Nothobranchius furzeri: one gene and its partners. Each later gene encodes a partner of the first gene's protein in a complex. Links are inferred from orthologs where the notes say so. Each region holds a gene or a part of one and is shown in the gene's direction. Other genes may lie near its edges.

What was found.
Region 2: akap17a (region 1) and c17h9orf78 share a complex: the UniProt entries of both Homo sapiens proteins name them as parts of the spliceosome. The link is inferred for Nothobranchius furzeri from reciprocal best matches to the Homo sapiens genes AKAP17A and C9orf78.
Region 3: akap17a (region 1) and ppp1r8b share a complex: the UniProt entries of both Homo sapiens proteins name them as parts of the spliceosome. The link is inferred for Nothobranchius furzeri from reciprocal best matches to the Homo sapiens genes AKAP17A and PPP1R8.

The regions. Positions count from the first base shown.
Region 1 is NC_091754.1:16,998,960-17,005,073, reverse strand, and holds the start of akap17a (A-kinase anchor protein 17A), read left to right. Parts: upstream 1-2,526; 5' UTR 2,527-2,707; intron 2,708-6,114. UniProt on the Homo sapiens protein: Splice factor regulating alternative splice site selection for certain mRNA precursors. Mediates regulation of pre-mRNA splicing in a PKA-dependent manner.
Region 2 is NC_091757.1:40,165,635-40,170,971, reverse strand, and holds c17h9orf78 (splicing factor C9orf78 homolog), read left to right. Parts: upstream 1-2,322; 5' UTR 2,323-2,421; coding exon 2,422-2,501; intron 2,502-2,657; coding exon 2,658-2,717; intron 2,718-2,856; coding exon 2,857-2,908; intron 2,909-2,995; coding exon 2,996-3,066; intron 3,067-3,184; coding exon 3,185-3,262; intron 3,263-4,077; coding exon 4,078-4,275; intron 4,276-4,350; coding exon 4,351-4,487; intron 4,488-4,561; coding exon 4,562-4,666; intron 4,667-4,770; coding exon 4,771-4,868; 3' UTR 4,869-5,207; downstream 5,208-5,337. Other genes in the region: NFU1 iron-sulfur cluster scaffold homolog, mitochondrial, read right to left, coding at 1,171-1,306, 1,502-1,602, 2,195-2,253. UniProt on the Homo sapiens protein: Plays a role in pre-mRNA splicing by promoting usage of the upstream 3'-splice site at alternative NAGNAG splice sites; these are sites featuring alternative acceptor motifs separated by only a few nucleotides. May also modulate exon inclusion events.
Region 3 is NC_091745.1:71,999,085-72,004,526, forward strand, and holds the start of ppp1r8b (protein phosphatase 1, regulatory subunit 8b), read left to right. Parts: upstream 1-2,427; 5' UTR 2,428-2,633; coding exon 2,634-2,683; intron 2,684-3,134; coding exon 3,135-3,195; intron 3,196-3,419; exon of another isoform or gene 3,420-3,585; intron 3,586-3,634; coding exon 3,635-3,788; intron 3,789-3,879; coding exon 3,880-4,097; intron 4,098-5,442. Other genes in the region: protein THEMIS2, read right to left, coding at 1-40, 396-495. UniProt on the Homo sapiens protein: Inhibitor subunit of the major nuclear protein phosphatase-1 (PP-1). It has RNA-binding activity but does not cleave RNA and may target PP-1 to RNA-associated substrates. May also be involved in pre-mRNA splicing.

The DNA.
Region 1 (6,114 bases):
AAAATGATAAATTATTTCAGACAGAAGCAGCTGATCACAGATTATTGTTCCTTTTGGAGTAAACAGACATTCCAGAAACTTTTAATGTGTGTTATTTATTAATACACATTTACCTAAATTTGCACATACACAATGGTTATGGTTTATTTTTTTAGTGCTTGCAACTAGCAGGAGTTGTTCTCCTGTATTTGCTCAGCAGCATCATGAAGACTTCCTGACTGTTCTCCCAAACATGTGAACCTCCAAAATTTAACTTTTTGATTTCTTGAATGTCCCTTTTATATTCTCTAGCATTTCTACTCAGATGTAATTCTATGGTTTCCACATTCCTGTAGAAATGTTTTAATATATGTCCTTTCTCATCAGCACGAGTTATTTTCTACTGTAAATGTTTGTGACGTGAAATTCTGTGAAGTTATTCTGCGGTGCTGAATCATGCGAGTCACTTTTGTCTTTCTTGATTCATTTAATTAAACGTTAAAGCAATAAACGTTTGCATCGATGTAAACTTCATTTATTTTACAGACCTCTATTGAGGTGACCTGTTTGCTGGCTCTCTGTGGTTGTCCCTGTGCGGCGGGGCTGAAAATTGATGATCTGATGACTCCGGACGCCAGCTTTGGAACAGCATTCACTGCAAATCCACGGCTTCCTGTTTCAAGCTGGTCAATGCAAAATATTTAAAGAGTTTTTCAGCGGCACCTTCGGATTGTTTAGTCAGAAACGTGGGCTCCTCTAGTGAAGTTGGGGGTTGTGTGTGAACCTTTTAATCGTGCTATTTTATAACCACATAATTGATATTAGATGCAAACAAGTGTGAGGCTTTTTTTTTTCTTCCAGGGATGCCGTGAGCCGCCTCGCTGACTGCTGATCGGGACAGAACAGAGAGGCTGTCTGACTGCAGCCACTGACCTACATACACACACACTGCCTGTTATGTAAATTCCTCTGCCATCTTTTCAGGGGAAACTGTGCCAACTTTGTCGCCCGGGGTCTTTTTAGAGTAATCCATGTCCAGTCCATCCACTTCTCCCACTTTTATATGGAATAGTCGTCATGGTGACCAGCAGTGCTAAATAGGCATTGAGCTTTTGTGACAAATAACCACGTCTTTTTTATTGGCTGGGTGATTCATAAAGCTTCAAAATGCACCTTAACACTAATTTAAAGAAAATGTTTATGTCATGCTCTGTGAAATATTCCTGATAAATTCCAGCCTTCTATTCAGAGGTCGTCGGTCCATCACAAAGCTGCACAGATGTACAGTATAGATTCACATGTAGGACCGGTTTAGTGTAGCTAACTAACCAAACATGTAAATTATTGGGCTGTGGGAGAAAACCAAAGAACAAACAAAAACATAAACATGCACGCAAACTTAATTTAAAGATTTAGAGCTATCAGCCACACCGCAGTGTGGTCCCTCTATTGGCTTATTTGGCTAAAATAGGTTATTTGTCTTCCATTAGCTCAATTTTCACATGTATTTGGACAAAACAGCATGACAAATGTGTTGTCTTTATTGTGCATTGCAAAAATATTTTTGCACTATTTTCAGCACAAAATTGTAATGGGATGAAAACAATGTAGCTAAATATGTCACAAACTATAGGTGAAGACCACTTTAAATGATTACTATAAAATATGACTAATTCTAAATAAAATGACATCAGATTGAACTGGTAAAAAATATGTATTTTGCACCACAGTGCAGGGGCATCTTCCATTGGCATCTTCCTCTTTAGAGGGCCAAAAGTTCAACAGTTACAGAAATCATTAAATAATTTATTAAATGTATCATTAAATTAAGTACAATCTGAAATACATGAACAGTTTATTCATTATACATTCTTTAAAAAAAGCACCGCACATAAAAGTATCTAATTTATTTTTGAAAGCATAAATAGTTCATGATTTTAATGTAACCATAAGGTTTCTAATACAGGTTTAATTTTTTTTTACTTGAAAAAACTTTTACATAAATCCATTTCTAAATCTTTTAACCTTCGGTTTGGGATCACAACTATGGAAGCCCATTCCCGCCACTCAGATAAAATAAAAAAAAATTATTATCTCATAATTATGACTTAGCTATCTCATAATAATGAGATACTATCTCATTATTATGACTTAGTATCTCATAATTATGACTTAGTATCTCATAATTATGACTTAGCTATCTCATTATTATGAGACAGTATCTCATTATTACGACTTAGTATCTCATAATTATGACTTAGCTATCTCATTATTATGAGATACTATCTCATTATTATGAGATAGCTAAGTCATAATTATGAGATAATAATTTTATTTTATTTTATCTGAGTGGCCGGAATGGGCTTCCATAGCTCTTGACCTGGAAACGTATTTATTTATGTTTCTTTCGGTCCTCCTTATTCTTCAATACGTTTGTTATAAACTCGACTAACTCTGACTGAACTGCGGTTTCTCTTTCAGACCAGATGGTGTCGCTGTTGCATAACTCCGCGACTGCGTCGTTGTCACACACACGTTGACTTTTTAAGAGGTCATAGTTCGGTGGATGCGGAACTAGCATGCAGTAGCAACCAAACATGTCTGTGGTAGCGACTTGGTGTACAGTTTTGTGCTTATACGGATAGTTTTTGCTCCGCAGTGATTTGCTCTGCTGGAAACCTCACGATATTTTTATCATTGTTTTTATCAGGATTCTAATTAATGTTGGGTAAGTTGTTGATAAATATTTAATAATTCGCGTCAGCACAGCGCTGGAAGCGGTTTTTGTGTTTTGCTTGTTTGAGCTAAAGCTAACTAGCTTCATATTAGATATGAAATTAGCTTGTCCACCAAGCTATTAACGAGCACCTAATGCTTTAAATGCCTTTTGCTAACTACTTGTTGATGGAACATTTTACAGTCTCGAGCTTGTTAGCCTCAGTTATTAGCATTGCATTCAGAGTTTGTTTTGCAAGTAACCTTGATGTTTAATACAACTTTTTCACCGGCTAAATATGTGTTGATAGTTTTAAATACGTTTCTTCTTCTATTGTGTTGTTAGTGCCCGATGTTGAAGGTATTTATTTATTAGGTACGGTTTGGCAAGACAATTTGTTTCAGTTGAACTGTGAATAAATATGTTTATTTTCAGTTAAATTTCAAAAGATATTTTAAGCCTATGAAAGACCAATGTAGTTATGCAGTTGTGGACTTTTTCTAATTCTCTTTATTATTTAGATACGGCATGAGGCCCGCCCCGTGTGTGTGACCATTTAGATGTTAATGAATTAAACTAAATTTATTTTCAAAATGAATGTAGAACAAGTAAACAAAATATAAGTTTGTAATAACAAATCAAGCTTGTTAAAGAGCAAGTCACCCCCATAACAATATTTTTTGCTGATAAACCAAATGAGTGTCTAACCGTGCTGTAGACACGTGTAGTCAGTAATTAATCACATTAGTGCATCTCAGTTAAAATTTTAATTTTCTGCCTTTAACAGTCTGTGTTGCGCCCTCATCAGGTAAAAACTGCACTGCATTTCAATTTAAACCTGCCATCCCTATTGGCTAAGAGGTACTGATGTTGTCAACTGGTACCATATGATGTCACAGTGCCACTGTGAGCCTGTATTTGTGTTAGTGGCTCCACTGGGGTTGGACGATGGGGTGAATTTTTCAACCGTCGGCAATGGGCTGAACCATTGCGATTTTTATTACTAGAGGCGATTTGTCTTATTTATTTATCAATGTGTTTTGCTGTGCATACATTTGTTAATGACAGATATTTTACACGTTGCGCACAGACAACATAGCAGCGGGATGAAAAAAAAGATCTCCATCAGTGCATCAGAGCATTATTTCTCACTTATTCCGCATCTTGCTGCTTACATGGCGCGCTGAATAGGAGCTGGGAGTGTCTGTGATGCAATAAACATCGTGCAAAAGAACACAGTGTTGAGTGGAAAGTGGAAACTTTTCTTTCAGAGAGTCTGGAAGACTTATGGTTATTTAATTTGGAGAGATGTTTCCTGATTTTAAAACTTTGGCCTAAAGGCACAGGCACACCGGAGATGGATGAGCTGCATCGTGCCCGCTCCGTAGTTTTAAATAGAAGCCATTATAGTTAATGACAGTGGCTACGCGAAGAGCGCCGCGTTGATCCTAACGTATTCTAATAAATAGCGTACTTACTAGGGTTGTCATGGTAACCGGTGTAGCGGTAAACCTCGGTAAAAAAGTTGACAGTAATAATAACCGTCTTGTTTTTAAAAAATCTATATTATCTCTGTGGGTTTACCGTGGCTGCGGTGTAGGCGCGGTGACCCTTATCAGTCACCGTATCATCTGCTGAAGTTGCCTGGCGCGCTTTATTGTTTACAACCAAAACTTTCTTGAAGCTAAAGCTGAAATAATGGCCAAGGGAGGAGACGGCAGCACTCAGGAGGACATTTTTTATCCCTCAAAGAAGACAAAGTGGGAAGTACGGGCATCTTTTGGATATTTGAAGAATGCCGAGAGACAGCTGATAGAAGACGGCTATCCTGTTTGCAGTACATGCAGAAAAAGTATCTGTGAAAGGCAGCAACGCTTCAAATCTCATGACACATCTGCGTGACCATCACCCACAACTCTACAGTCAACGCAAGGCAAGCTAACATTAGCGTTTTAGCTAAAATGCGTGGTCCGAGGATTTGGGTCGAGGGAGAATGCAACGAGTCGCTATATAAAGCAGCCGCAGCGCCGCTACCTGCATATAAACCGTGTCACGGACACCCCCATGTTGAAATGACGCTATGCATTACGGGGCTCCCAGGGGCAGATAAGAGTTGGTCTCTCTCCGAGAATAATTATGAATTTAACAATGATTACTGCCTGATGACATTTTCCCACATCTGCAAAGCTCACTGGAAGGACACAAACCGAGGACAATATTTTCCTGATATAGGGTTTATTACTCAAGTAAGGGTAAAAAAGTATCTGATTAGAAGGCTGCTTGAGTACTGAGTATCATCTGATCTAATATTTTTAAATGATGACATCAAACAGACATAAAACAAGAAGTTATGGTCGAATATTGGTATTTTAAAGACTAAAGGGAAAAAATGTAAACAAATAAACAACATAATTACAAAATAACACATTTAGGCAAAATTTAGACACAAACTGAGGACAATATTTCCTGACATACAGGGTTTATTTAATTGTGTGAAAATGTAGCACGTTTAAAAAAATACCGCGATAATACCGAAAACCGTGGTAATTTTGGTCACAATAACCGTGAGGTTAAATTTCACACCGTGACAACCCTAGTGCTTACCCATATTTAATAAATTAGTCTCACAAAACATGACGGCAAGTTTGATCACATATAAACAATAGTCACTTCCCCCTTCCTGTTCTCAAATCCCACGTGATGTTGTGACTGATTGTTATTTCAAAAATGAAAGTGACGGGGATAACTGGATCATGTGACCTCTGGCTGCAATGCTCTCTACTAAGAGGCCGTCCAACTGCAGCAGCAATTAATTTCATTTCTCAGTCATAAAAGAAAGAAACCCAGTAGCCTTTGTTCAGGGAAAAAAAAAACCTTTTGCTTAAATAAAATACCCCAATAGTGGCACCGCAGAGAAGCAAAGACGAGGCTTCTTTTTAACATTTTAACTGTGTTTAATACGAGCTGTTTATACGTCACTCTACCAAACTACAAATACAAAATTAAATAAAAAGAAAAATCAAACTTTCTCCTTCAGCAAACATTTGCAAAAAAAAACCCAAGTGTTTGTACTTCTATTGTAATCAGTCATGACGTTGCTCAGAGTCACATGCACAAATAGATCGCCCATCGTCATTTATTGGACTGACTATTGGCAGTGGCAAAAATTGTACAAATCGCCCAACCCTAGGCTCCGCCCTCTCGGTCTGTCAGCCAACAGCATTTCTTGCATTTTTCAAATATGAACTGGGAGTGGAGTAAGACTCTGGTAGGGGGTGACTTGCTCTTTAAACTCCCATCAGTTTCAATTTTGCAAAAGAGAAAAACAACAAAAATATATTTTAATGATTATTAGTCATATTTAATCCTGACCGTTTGAGAATTTCCCAGAAAACTTTTTTATTGTTTTATTAATATTT
Region 2 (5,337 bases), on another chromosome or scaffold:
GGTCCTGCTGTTATCTTACAAATCAATGGTGACAGACTTTACACTTTAAACTGGGGCTCCCTTTGACATTTGTGGATATTTCATAATACAGTTATAAAATATAATAATATTTGCTAAAAGTATGTTTACAAATGCCCATTTAGCTAACAAGGCAGCAACTTAGTTTGAAATGTTTAAAATGGCAACTGTAGACAAAACATACAAGTGATTATATTTGGCTCACCATTTAGCAATTTTTGTCTCTTTCTTGCCCCCAATGACGATAAACACTTATAAAGAGTTACAGATGAATTAATTTCAACATATTTATTAACATTTACCAATCATTTATAAGGGGTGCCTTATTGTAAAGTGGTACCAACAATTATTTGGGGTTAGTTTGGAAAAATCCACCATTTCAAAGAAATAAGAAAACAAAGTACCGAAAAACTAATACCTGACTCTTAATTAGAGCTTGGTTTCAAAACTTGGTGCCTCTTCAGTCCGAAAATACTTAGTAGGTATTGGTATATTTTTGGTGCTAGACGTTGTGGTTTTGGCTTGGTTCAAAGTTAGCAGCCCTCTGCGGGCCCCTGGTGGCCCTATGCAATGCATGCCCTGCTTATTAACACACAATGCATCTATTTGAGCCGAAGTATGCACTGTCTTTAATCGTGAAAAAATAAAATAAAATAAATAAAAGCTGACCCGAGTCTACAACCTTTGTCCTCTGCTGCATCAACAGCAACAAGAAAAATAGCCAGGTCTCATGTTTACAGTGTACATAGTTTATCTCTTATTTACATTGTATGTTTATTCATTTTGTATTTATTTTGGGATCTAAATATTTTTATTTCATGTTTTTAGAGAAGATGTTTCATATGTCTTGCACCAAAGAATATATAATAGTTGCACTTTATTTTCATACTGTTAACCTTTGCTTTGTACTAAAAGCTAAATACTACCTTTTCCTATTTATAAACTGTATATATATATAAACTATTACATTTTTAAGATGACAGTAAAAAATGTTGCTTCCACCATTTAGACAAGCCTCTCTCAGTTAAGTGGATACAATATGCATATATTGGCAAACATACAACAAGGTACCCCCTGGTACAGAGTTTGCTCAGAGTAAGGAAACAACTTGATATGTTAATATGAGATTAGTAATCTTGTATTAGGAAATACCTGGCTAAAGGTGAGCAGTAAGCATCACGAGGGCCTGCAAAATTCATGGTTCCCTCTTCGAGAACTGTCCGCCCAGGCAAAAACTTTAGACTGTTTGGATTTGGAGTATCCTGTGTCTGCACAAACATGGACCTTCCTGTAACATAAAAAATGTAATGCAAATTTTTAAAAAGGGCTACAAGAGAATTGTGGTCATTTTCTGCATGTGCAGAATGCCCGATTTTCTCACAACACCTAAGCATCTGACATCACTGTGGAAAACGTGACAATAAAAGACAATCACTCTTATTTAATAAAAAGTCACACTAGAGGTTGCAGCAAATAAACAAACCAGGAACAGTCCAGAAGGGGTTTTGTGGCCATCTGTTTGAAACTCCAGTAGCTTGCGAGGGCCAGTGGAATCCATTGCTCTGACATCCACTGCCAACAAGACTGAAAATAATGAACAGATAAACAGTAATATAAAAAAAACATTCTTTATTATAAAAAATATTATGCTGTTGTGTGTAGGGACGATTTCTTTACCGTCACTAAAATGTGGCAATAATAAGACGGGTAAACTCCTGTTTAGAAGATGTGCGAACAAGCTCCTACACTGAACAGGAACACCAAATCAAATACAAATGCTATAACTAAGGAAAGCAAAACATTAATAAAAAGGCAATGGCGCGATGACAGAGTTGTTTCAGCACGCTTTAAAAACGCGTTCTGCACATTTGTTCTGGTGATTTGTATTTTTTCCCCTACTAAATAAAAATGATCAAAAAGATGGATGCAAGATAAAAATTTATTACATTTATGCAGGTTTGTTTAGTGTTAATTTTACTTTAAGGGCATTTTTGATGGGAAAAAACATCGTAATGAAACATTCCTCGTTTCCAGACCTAATGTTTAGTCTGCGTCATTCCACACTAAACCAACAAGCTTAAACACAGTCGCATAGAAATGACTCACATGTTGCAAAAAGTAAAAGAAAAAAAATTAAACACAATAGAAGGTAAAATCCTGCAAAATATCCACTTACGGTCGTGAAAGTCTAGCAGAAATCCCCAACAACCCGCTAACGTGTTTATAAGCCGCCATGATTGTTATGGTTGTGATCCTTCAAGAAGAACGGAAGTAGATTATACTTTTCCGGAAGTGACGAATATTTTTGTACGTCTGTTAAAGTTTCCCCCCGAAATTATCAGCGTCAAGCTTACGCGCAGTAAGGCGCTGCTTCTTCAAATATTTACGTTAAACTATCTAAATATGCCTTGTGGTAGGCATTTTAGAAGAAGACAAGATTCGTCGGATGATGAAGAGGAGGATGAAACAACAGAAGAAGTCAGGTAAAATACTCGAACAACGAGTTGTTAAGATATATGTTGTGTTAGCAAACTAGCCGCTAACCCAAAATTAAAGTAACAGAACGCCATTGTTGTTAGTTGTATTTTAATAAGCTGCCTACCTAAATATGTTTGTGCTTTTGTATTTTTTTTTCTTAGATCAAAAGTAGAAGAGGCTAAAGAACTTCAGAGTTTGAGGAAACGACAGAGCGGAGTCAGGTAACATGTTAATATGAATGTAGAATGGAAGACATCTTTATTATGTAGCACGTTTCACACAGAAGCAATTAGTTGTGCTTAATGTCAATACTTAACTGCTTGGATGTGAATTAACTTACACCTTTTACTTTTTGTCTAGTGTGACAGCTTTATTGGTGGGAGAGAAACTGCCTCCAGAAGTCGAAATTGATGTAAGTTTTCTTTGGAAAAAAAAATGTGTGTGTGTGTTGAATAGCAACATGTTGAACGTTTACTTTTTTATTGATCACTTCTGACAGAATGATCCTTTCAAACTGAAGACGGGAGGAGTTGTAGACATGAAGAAAGTGAAAGACAGGAATAGAGACATGTGAGTCAAGTTTTCCACCCTCAGGTGCAACATAGATACCTGCCTGAATGCTTTGTACAATTAAACCAAATCCAGTTAATCGGATATGACTGACTCATCCAGGATGATTCATTAACAGGACAGAAGATGAAACCGACCTCAGCCTGGGCACTTCATTCTCCGCCGAGACCAACAGAAGGGATGAAGATGCAGACATGTGAGCTTTTCTTTAAACTGTATTATAATCATTTCCTCTTCAGACTCAACATTGTCCAACCTCTATTTAAATTGTGCTCTGTTTTTTTCCTCTCTAACGGAAATTTCTGACTTTTGAGATAATTTTTCTCATGTCAAGAAATTCAATAATAAAAAAATTAAGAGGTGTGTGTAGGTCGTCAACATTCATGTCCCTTTAAGAAGCTGTACCACCCTGAGCCAAAATGTGACTCAACCTAACACATGTGACAGCCCCATCTAGGCCATATCGCCCAGCCCTAAAAGGAAGGTGTTCAGTTGATTTCCTCCGTCTGGCAAAAAATATTCCATCATACATAATAAAGTTGAATTTCCACAAAGAAAACAAATTAAAAACAAGTTTGGTCCAACAATGGCTGCCCTGGACAAGAAATAACACTGGTGTTTACCTGGGTTTTCATCTCTTTAAACAACTAAAATAGTGTCAGTATTTGTCAGAAATCAAATTTTGCTCAACAAAACAATTTATGCACCAACCCCTGAATTAACCAGCTGTTAATGTTGACTGTAAAATCAGTCAAACTACAAAGACTGCTTTTGTCTGAGATGAAATGGTGTTGGAACTTTTGTTAGCATGTTACTGGCTGGCTTCATTCAGCATTTTAAGAAAAGGCTTTTTATTCTACTAAAGAAAGTTGGAAAAGCAATCTCAATTCTTGAATTACATGAACTTTGTTACTAAATATTTAAGTATCTACAAGTTAGTATTCAAAATCTTAACGTAGCTGCCATCCAGTTGTTCGTGTGGGACATTTCCCATTGTGTTTTTCTTTACAGGATGAAATATATTGAGACAGAGTTAAAAAAGAAGAAAGGCCTGGTGGAGGCTGAGGAACAGAAAATTAAGGTGAAAAATGCAGAGGACCACCTGTACGAACTTCCTGAGAACATCCGAGTGAACTCTGCCAAGAAGACAGAGGAGATGTTGTCCAATCAGATGCTGAGTGGGATCCCGGAGGTTGACCTTGGCATTGAGTAAATTCAGAAGATTCTTTAATAATTCAGCTCTTTTTATTTTACTCAAATTAATCCCTGTCGTTTCATTCTCAGTGCAAAGATTAAAAACATTATCCAGACAGAAGAGGCAAAAGCCAAACTTCTGGCAGAGCAAAGGAACAAGAAGAAAGACCTCGGGACGTCGTTTGTTCCCACGAATATTGCTGTTAATTATGTCCAACATAACCGCTGTGAGTTCAGGCTGTCTGCATCCGTTCCAGCTAGAGGAGAAAAGTTTGTTAATCATGCTTTTGTTTTCTTTTAGTCTACCATGAGGATGCAAATGCACCACAAAGGCACAACAGACACAGAGAAGAGCCCAAAGCAAGACCGCTGCGAGTGGGCGACACAGAGAAGCCAGGCCCAGAGGGTACGAGACACGACCACACAGTCACAGATACAAACCAAAAACACTTTTTGGTTCCTTTTTTCCAGAAACCAAAACCTGTACTCGTTTCTTTTGTCTGTCCGTAGCTCCGTCGCCACCGAACCCACGCAAACGTCCAAACAACGAGAAGGCCACGGATGACTACCACTACGAGAAGTTTAAGAAGATGAACCGAAGATATTAAAAAGTTGCATCTGTTTCCTCCACACAATGGCATCTGAAAATGTGAGCCGTTGCTAATTATTATTGAAAACATTTGTTGACCAAAATGTTGAAGCTCCAGATTTGTGTGATTTCCTGTTTGGTTTTTCAAACAAGTCAGCAGCTTTAGCTTCACTCTAAGTCTACAGTATTTTAGAGCTGGCTGTTCAATTATTAAGTGTGTAAAAATATATCTCGGTTTGTTTTTTTAAAACAAGAACCATACTAAAGTTTAAAAGTGATGCACTTAGCTAATGAGATGGAATAACTAGAGCAGCTGCTTGAAAATGAGACGTTAAGCAATAAAAAACCCAAAGCTGAACTGTTGGCTGCCATGTTTATCTTAAAAATAAAAAGTAGCTAATTTAAGTGGTTTACATGTAAACAAAGAACTGTAAGTATTCTGCTTTGAGCTAAATTTAATGTAAATGTCGTTTTTTTTAAATACTTTT
Region 3 (5,442 bases), on another chromosome or scaffold:
GAGAAGCTAACTTCACTCCCAGATATTTCATACACCGAACCTGATGCATGAAACGAACCCGTCAGGCATATAAAAGTTCCCAAATGTGCCTCGATGATGAAGTTTTTTATGATTATGAAAATTTTAATCATAATAAATGTGACTAATTTAGCTAGGAAACACAATGTTTGATCTTTACATTCCTATACTCAGAAATTTGTACCTTTATTATCTTAATAAATAAGTAAATCTTATTTATATAGCACTCATCACAGACAAAGAATCACAAGGGGCTTCATTGAAATCAAAACAAAATTAATCATAAAGTCATAAAATCATAATGATCTTAAAACAGATCTAAATACATAACTAAATAAATAAATAAATAAATAAATAAATAAATAAATAAAACCCACCTTGGAAATAGACTCCAGAGCAAATCTGTAGAATTTTCGGTAAACTGCTGGGATCCAGCGATGCAATAAAATCTTGAAGCGGCAAAGCAATGCCTGCCATGGTTGCTGCCTCGGCGAGTCGAAATAAGACTGAAGACAAGTGTTAAATGACGACTGCAGCTAAAAAGGAGTTGCGCTTCTAGCAAAACCACAAAAGTATATGAGGAAGTGACAGGAGCTTTTGCACAACATTTTTCATTTTTAAGGGAGGGGGGAAGTTTATGAGTTATGACGGAGGCCCTGTTTTACTGTCAAGATTTGTGATTTTAAAAATCGTTGACAGCAGCTTATTGTTGTGGAGCCAATTGAAATGTAAAAAATTCACTGTTAAAACAAAAGTTACTGCAAGGCTAAGATTGGTTCTTGGTTTGTACCAGTAGCTAAATGAAAAACACGTCATTGCCAGATTAGAAAGAAGTGGATGATTGGAAATAAAGTGTGATGAATGTGACTTGTTCTGTTGCAAATAACTGAAAGAAAAACACAAACTAGGAACATAACCTAAAAACTCTCATGTGACTCACCTGGATACATCAAATAGGTTAATTTTAGTCATACCAGTTTTGTCTAACATGTTTCCTGTGACAAACTATGTTTTCAACCAATGAATGATCAAAGGCACCTTACCCAAACATGTTCTTTTTTGTGTTTTATCATTTATAAGGGAACTTTGATGGCATTAGTTTATTTGTAAAAGGACAAAAAGACTGCAGGCTCATTTCCTTCTGCTTTAAAGAGAAACTAAAAGTATGGCAGCTTTACTTTTTCTATGACAAGACCGAAGCCTATGACCCTCAAACCCACAGTTTACAAATCAGAAAGAGAAAATAAGCAAAGCGTCAGTCGAATCTGGCTACTTATTCATCCCTTTTCTGTGTTAAACTCTAGGTGCTGAATCTTTGTAACAAATGCTGTAGGAGGCTTGTGGTATCGCTGTTTCCAAACCAACATTTCAAACTTTTTCAAAACTTTATTTTTTGGGTCTTTACTGAGAATTTGCAATTTGGAGTTCAGAGACCTCCAGTGGTTTCTTTAGGAACTTTAAATTTTATAAAAGCCACATTTTTGACAAATACATGTTAATATCTCTTAAAACAAAAAGGACATTTTTTTTTCTTATTTGAAACATTAAAAAACACCAAACAAATTTTTAATGTTAATTTTTTTTAATGAACATTTCTAAATGGACTTTGAGATAAATCCTTGTTGGTTAAACAAATGGCCTGGTTTTATCAAATAATAAAATAGTGGCTTTTAAAATTATCATCTGAATGAATCTGCTCAAATGTCTTGGGCTACTTAAATTATTCAAACAGAAAACCGTAAGTCATCTCAATCTAGATGTTCTTGTAAAATATTGTTTTTGTTTTGTTTTTGTGGAAAAGGTAACTTTTGCAATTTAGCCCATCCTTCTGTCAAAAGGCACTACCTTTGGATTGGCCACAGTTGTAAGAAATACTTTGTCTTGTTAAATAAAGGTTAAAAGTTTTAAAATAAAAACATCTGGCTGTGTCACACAAAATGCACTAAAAAGCTGTTTTCTAGGGGTGGCCATGGCCACCCCTGGCCACCCTTGGGGGCACCCTTGCGTGTGCTTGATTTGTGTTTTTGTTGGGCTGAAGAGAAGCTGCTTAAGTAAAAGTAAAATTTGTCACCTCCATCTGTCTGAAACATATAAACAGAATCAGTTTACATTAAACAAAACTATGTTGTTATGATGTACATTATCTTTCCAGTATAAAGAAAAACTTATCATTTAAGGTCTATTGTTTTAATATTAACAGAATTGGACTGAAATTATATAATTTGTTTTTATTTAATCATTATTAGGTGAGTAGCTGTTTCCGCCCCTGTTGCGCGTTAATGTTCTCTTTTGATAACAAATTGCAACTTTACACACAGTAGTAGATTTGTGATGATAAAATTAGTGTTTTTTATGAACTATAAATGTGACTTACCTGAACTTTTTTCTTTATTATTTTTAGTAGACTACTTCATACTAACTCTAAAACCCGAATTTAATCATAAACTCAACAATATATAAGTTCCACACACAACCACATCTATAAATGCGAAATATTAGCTTGTTTTTTGTACTTTTACTTTTTTTTAATATGGCGTGGTCTATTACCGGACTACATTTCCCAGCATTCCTAAGCGACAATTACCCAAAATGCATCGTTAACATGTAGAGGGAAGATGGCAGCTAAAACAAGCAAAGACGGTCCACCTTTTGACTGCCCATCATGGTGAGAAAATGCACATGTTGAAGTACTAAAATACCAACTGCAGCGCTTGATTATGTGCAAACGAGCAAAACGACGTTGTTACGTTAACAATTGTAACTTTTATAGAGGAAAGAAGTTCGTTAGCGTTAGCATCCAATCGAGCTAGCAGGCTAACCCCTCCTACAAGGCTAGCCTAAATGCGGATCACGGTTTGCTTTCTGCTTGAAAATGAATGAAAGGCTTGATTTTAAAAGTTTCTCACCTAGTTGAAACGTATAGAGGTGACAGCAGGACATTTTTTGACAGATATGCTCTTGAAGTATTCGGTTCGAGTGAAAAGAGCTAAATGTTTGAATAAATGAATTAAAATTAGATTATAAAATGGTTAAATATGCTGTAAATATATTTATGCACTGCTGTATTTTCTGAGATCAGTTCAGTGTTTAAATAAGTCTCTAATTGTTTCTTATAGGGGAGGAAAACCGCCCACAGGACTGCACTTAGACGTGATGAAAGGAGACAAACTGGTTGAGGTAACTGGAAATTTAAACTGTTATTTAGTTTGGACTCTTTAAAATCAGCTTTAATTATCTCAGTTCTATTTAATTTCTAAGTTAAAAATCCAGATTTGTTTAATCTCTTAAACATAAGCAAATTCCACAATAAAATGTCATTCCTTATTATTTTAAACATCTAATGATTCTGTTTTCCACATAGCAGAACACACATGTGATTGTTACTATTGTACAAATGTTAAAAGCACCAGATACAAGCCTGACAGTCTGCTCCGCCCTGTGCGTGTTGCACAATGGGGTTAACCTATGACTGCATGGCTTCAAAAGGTGCGAGAACAACATCAGCCCTGAGATTTAAGCCCTTCAGTGGAAAGCAACACTGTTGAGTTATAACTCAGAGGCACAAATGCATTAATGTACGCCATTACTAATTCACACCATCCGTTTCTCCTTGTAGAAACTGATCATAGATGAAAAGAAGTTCTACCTGTTTGGTAGGAACCCCGACTGGTGTGACTTCACCATCGACCATCAGTCGTGCTCGCGTGTTCACGCCGCTCTAGTCTACCATAAACACCTAAAAAGGCTCTTCCTTATAGATCTTAATAGCAGTAAGATTTCACAAACACTTTAATTATTTCTCAGTCACTCTGCTCTTTTAATGTATTAATCCTAATTATTATTATTTTTTTACAATTTAAGCACATGGTACCTTCCTCGGACACATTCGCCTTGAGCCTCACAAGCCTCAGCAGGTTCCAATCGACTCTACAATATCCTTCGGGGCGTCAACACGTACCTACACCATCAGAGAAAAACCCCAAACCCAAGGAAGCGCTGGCACCGGCGACAGTAAGACAGGAGATGAGGAGGAGCTAAAAGGACTGCTCGGGCTTCCGGAGGAAGAGACAGAGTTGGAGGTTTGTTAGAATTCAGATCAGCTCCACTGACTCGCCGCTTGTTACTCTTGACTTGTTTTGACATCCTGTTTTGCGCTTGTGGCATCTTAATGGAATTATTTGTATGCAAATTAGCCACAGTGTGAAATGATCTCAGTGTGTTTGGTTTTTTAACTCACTCACTGCCAGCCGTTTCCTGATCACTTACCCCCAAATTCCACTACCTCCGCTCCGACACGAACGCCGGAGCAAAATCGGTCCCGTTGTAGTCAATCAGAGCAATTCCACTACTGCGGCCGTGCTCCGGCAATGCGGCGCAGTGCGCTGCCCTCTGTTCCGGCGTCCGGCAAAAATAGAATCGATCCTATTTTCGCCGGACGCCGGAGCACCTCCGCAGTAAATGGACAGAAATCACAACCGCCCAACAGGAAAAGGAGCAAGCACAACTTCCGTTTTTCACAATAAATCGATAAAAAAAGGCGTTTTTTGTTTCATATGCACAGGTTTAACAACTTTTAACAACTATCAGTGGCGGCTGAAGTTTAAATGCACAAAAGTAAGCCATAAATACAGTTTCTACTATCAAAGTAGTCACACTTTGTTCATCCAAACACTGCTGATCTCTCAACACAAATGATGGGCAGATTAAACAGTTCATGCCGATGCTTCTCCCACACAACGGGTGTTTGGATCTAACTTCCGCGTTTATTGCTCGGACTGTATCGCAAGATCTCGAAAATCCCGTGCATGCTTGTTTGCCCACCTCAGGTCTCCGCACCGGAGCGGAGCCGTTGTAGAGCGGGTACCAGTAAAAATTGAGTTTGGAAGCGAGCGGCTGCGGAAGGCGGGGCGGACCGGACCAGAGCGGAATGGAGGTAGTGGAATTTGGGGGTAACGGCCTTCGCTGCCAGCGTTTCTCACCATTTTTATGATTTTTTTTAAGAGTCACAGAACGTTGCGCGCTAGCATGATGTCAATGCCAAAACAACCAAAAACAAAGAGGAGACTCACCTCTTACATCAGGAAGAAGCCGTGTGTTTCGAGCATTATCCGTTCTTTCATAATCCGTTGTCGAATTGTGATCGGCAGACGCTTTTCCGGTTCGCGCCTCACTTTTTTTTACAGGAACGGCCCAAAACGATCTCCTAACACATGGATGTTCTGCTTCCTGATCACGTGATATGTGACGTATGCGGATGAAGATCAGCTTCAGGGCTGAGATGTTTGTTCTCTCAGGGCGGGGGCTCGTGCCGATGCTCAAACAGTAAAAAAATGCAAATGACGACGTCATTGGCAGTGAATGAGTTAACTGCACCACATTTTTTCCCGACATCTCCAATTTTCTTTTTTTTTTTGTTTGTTTGCT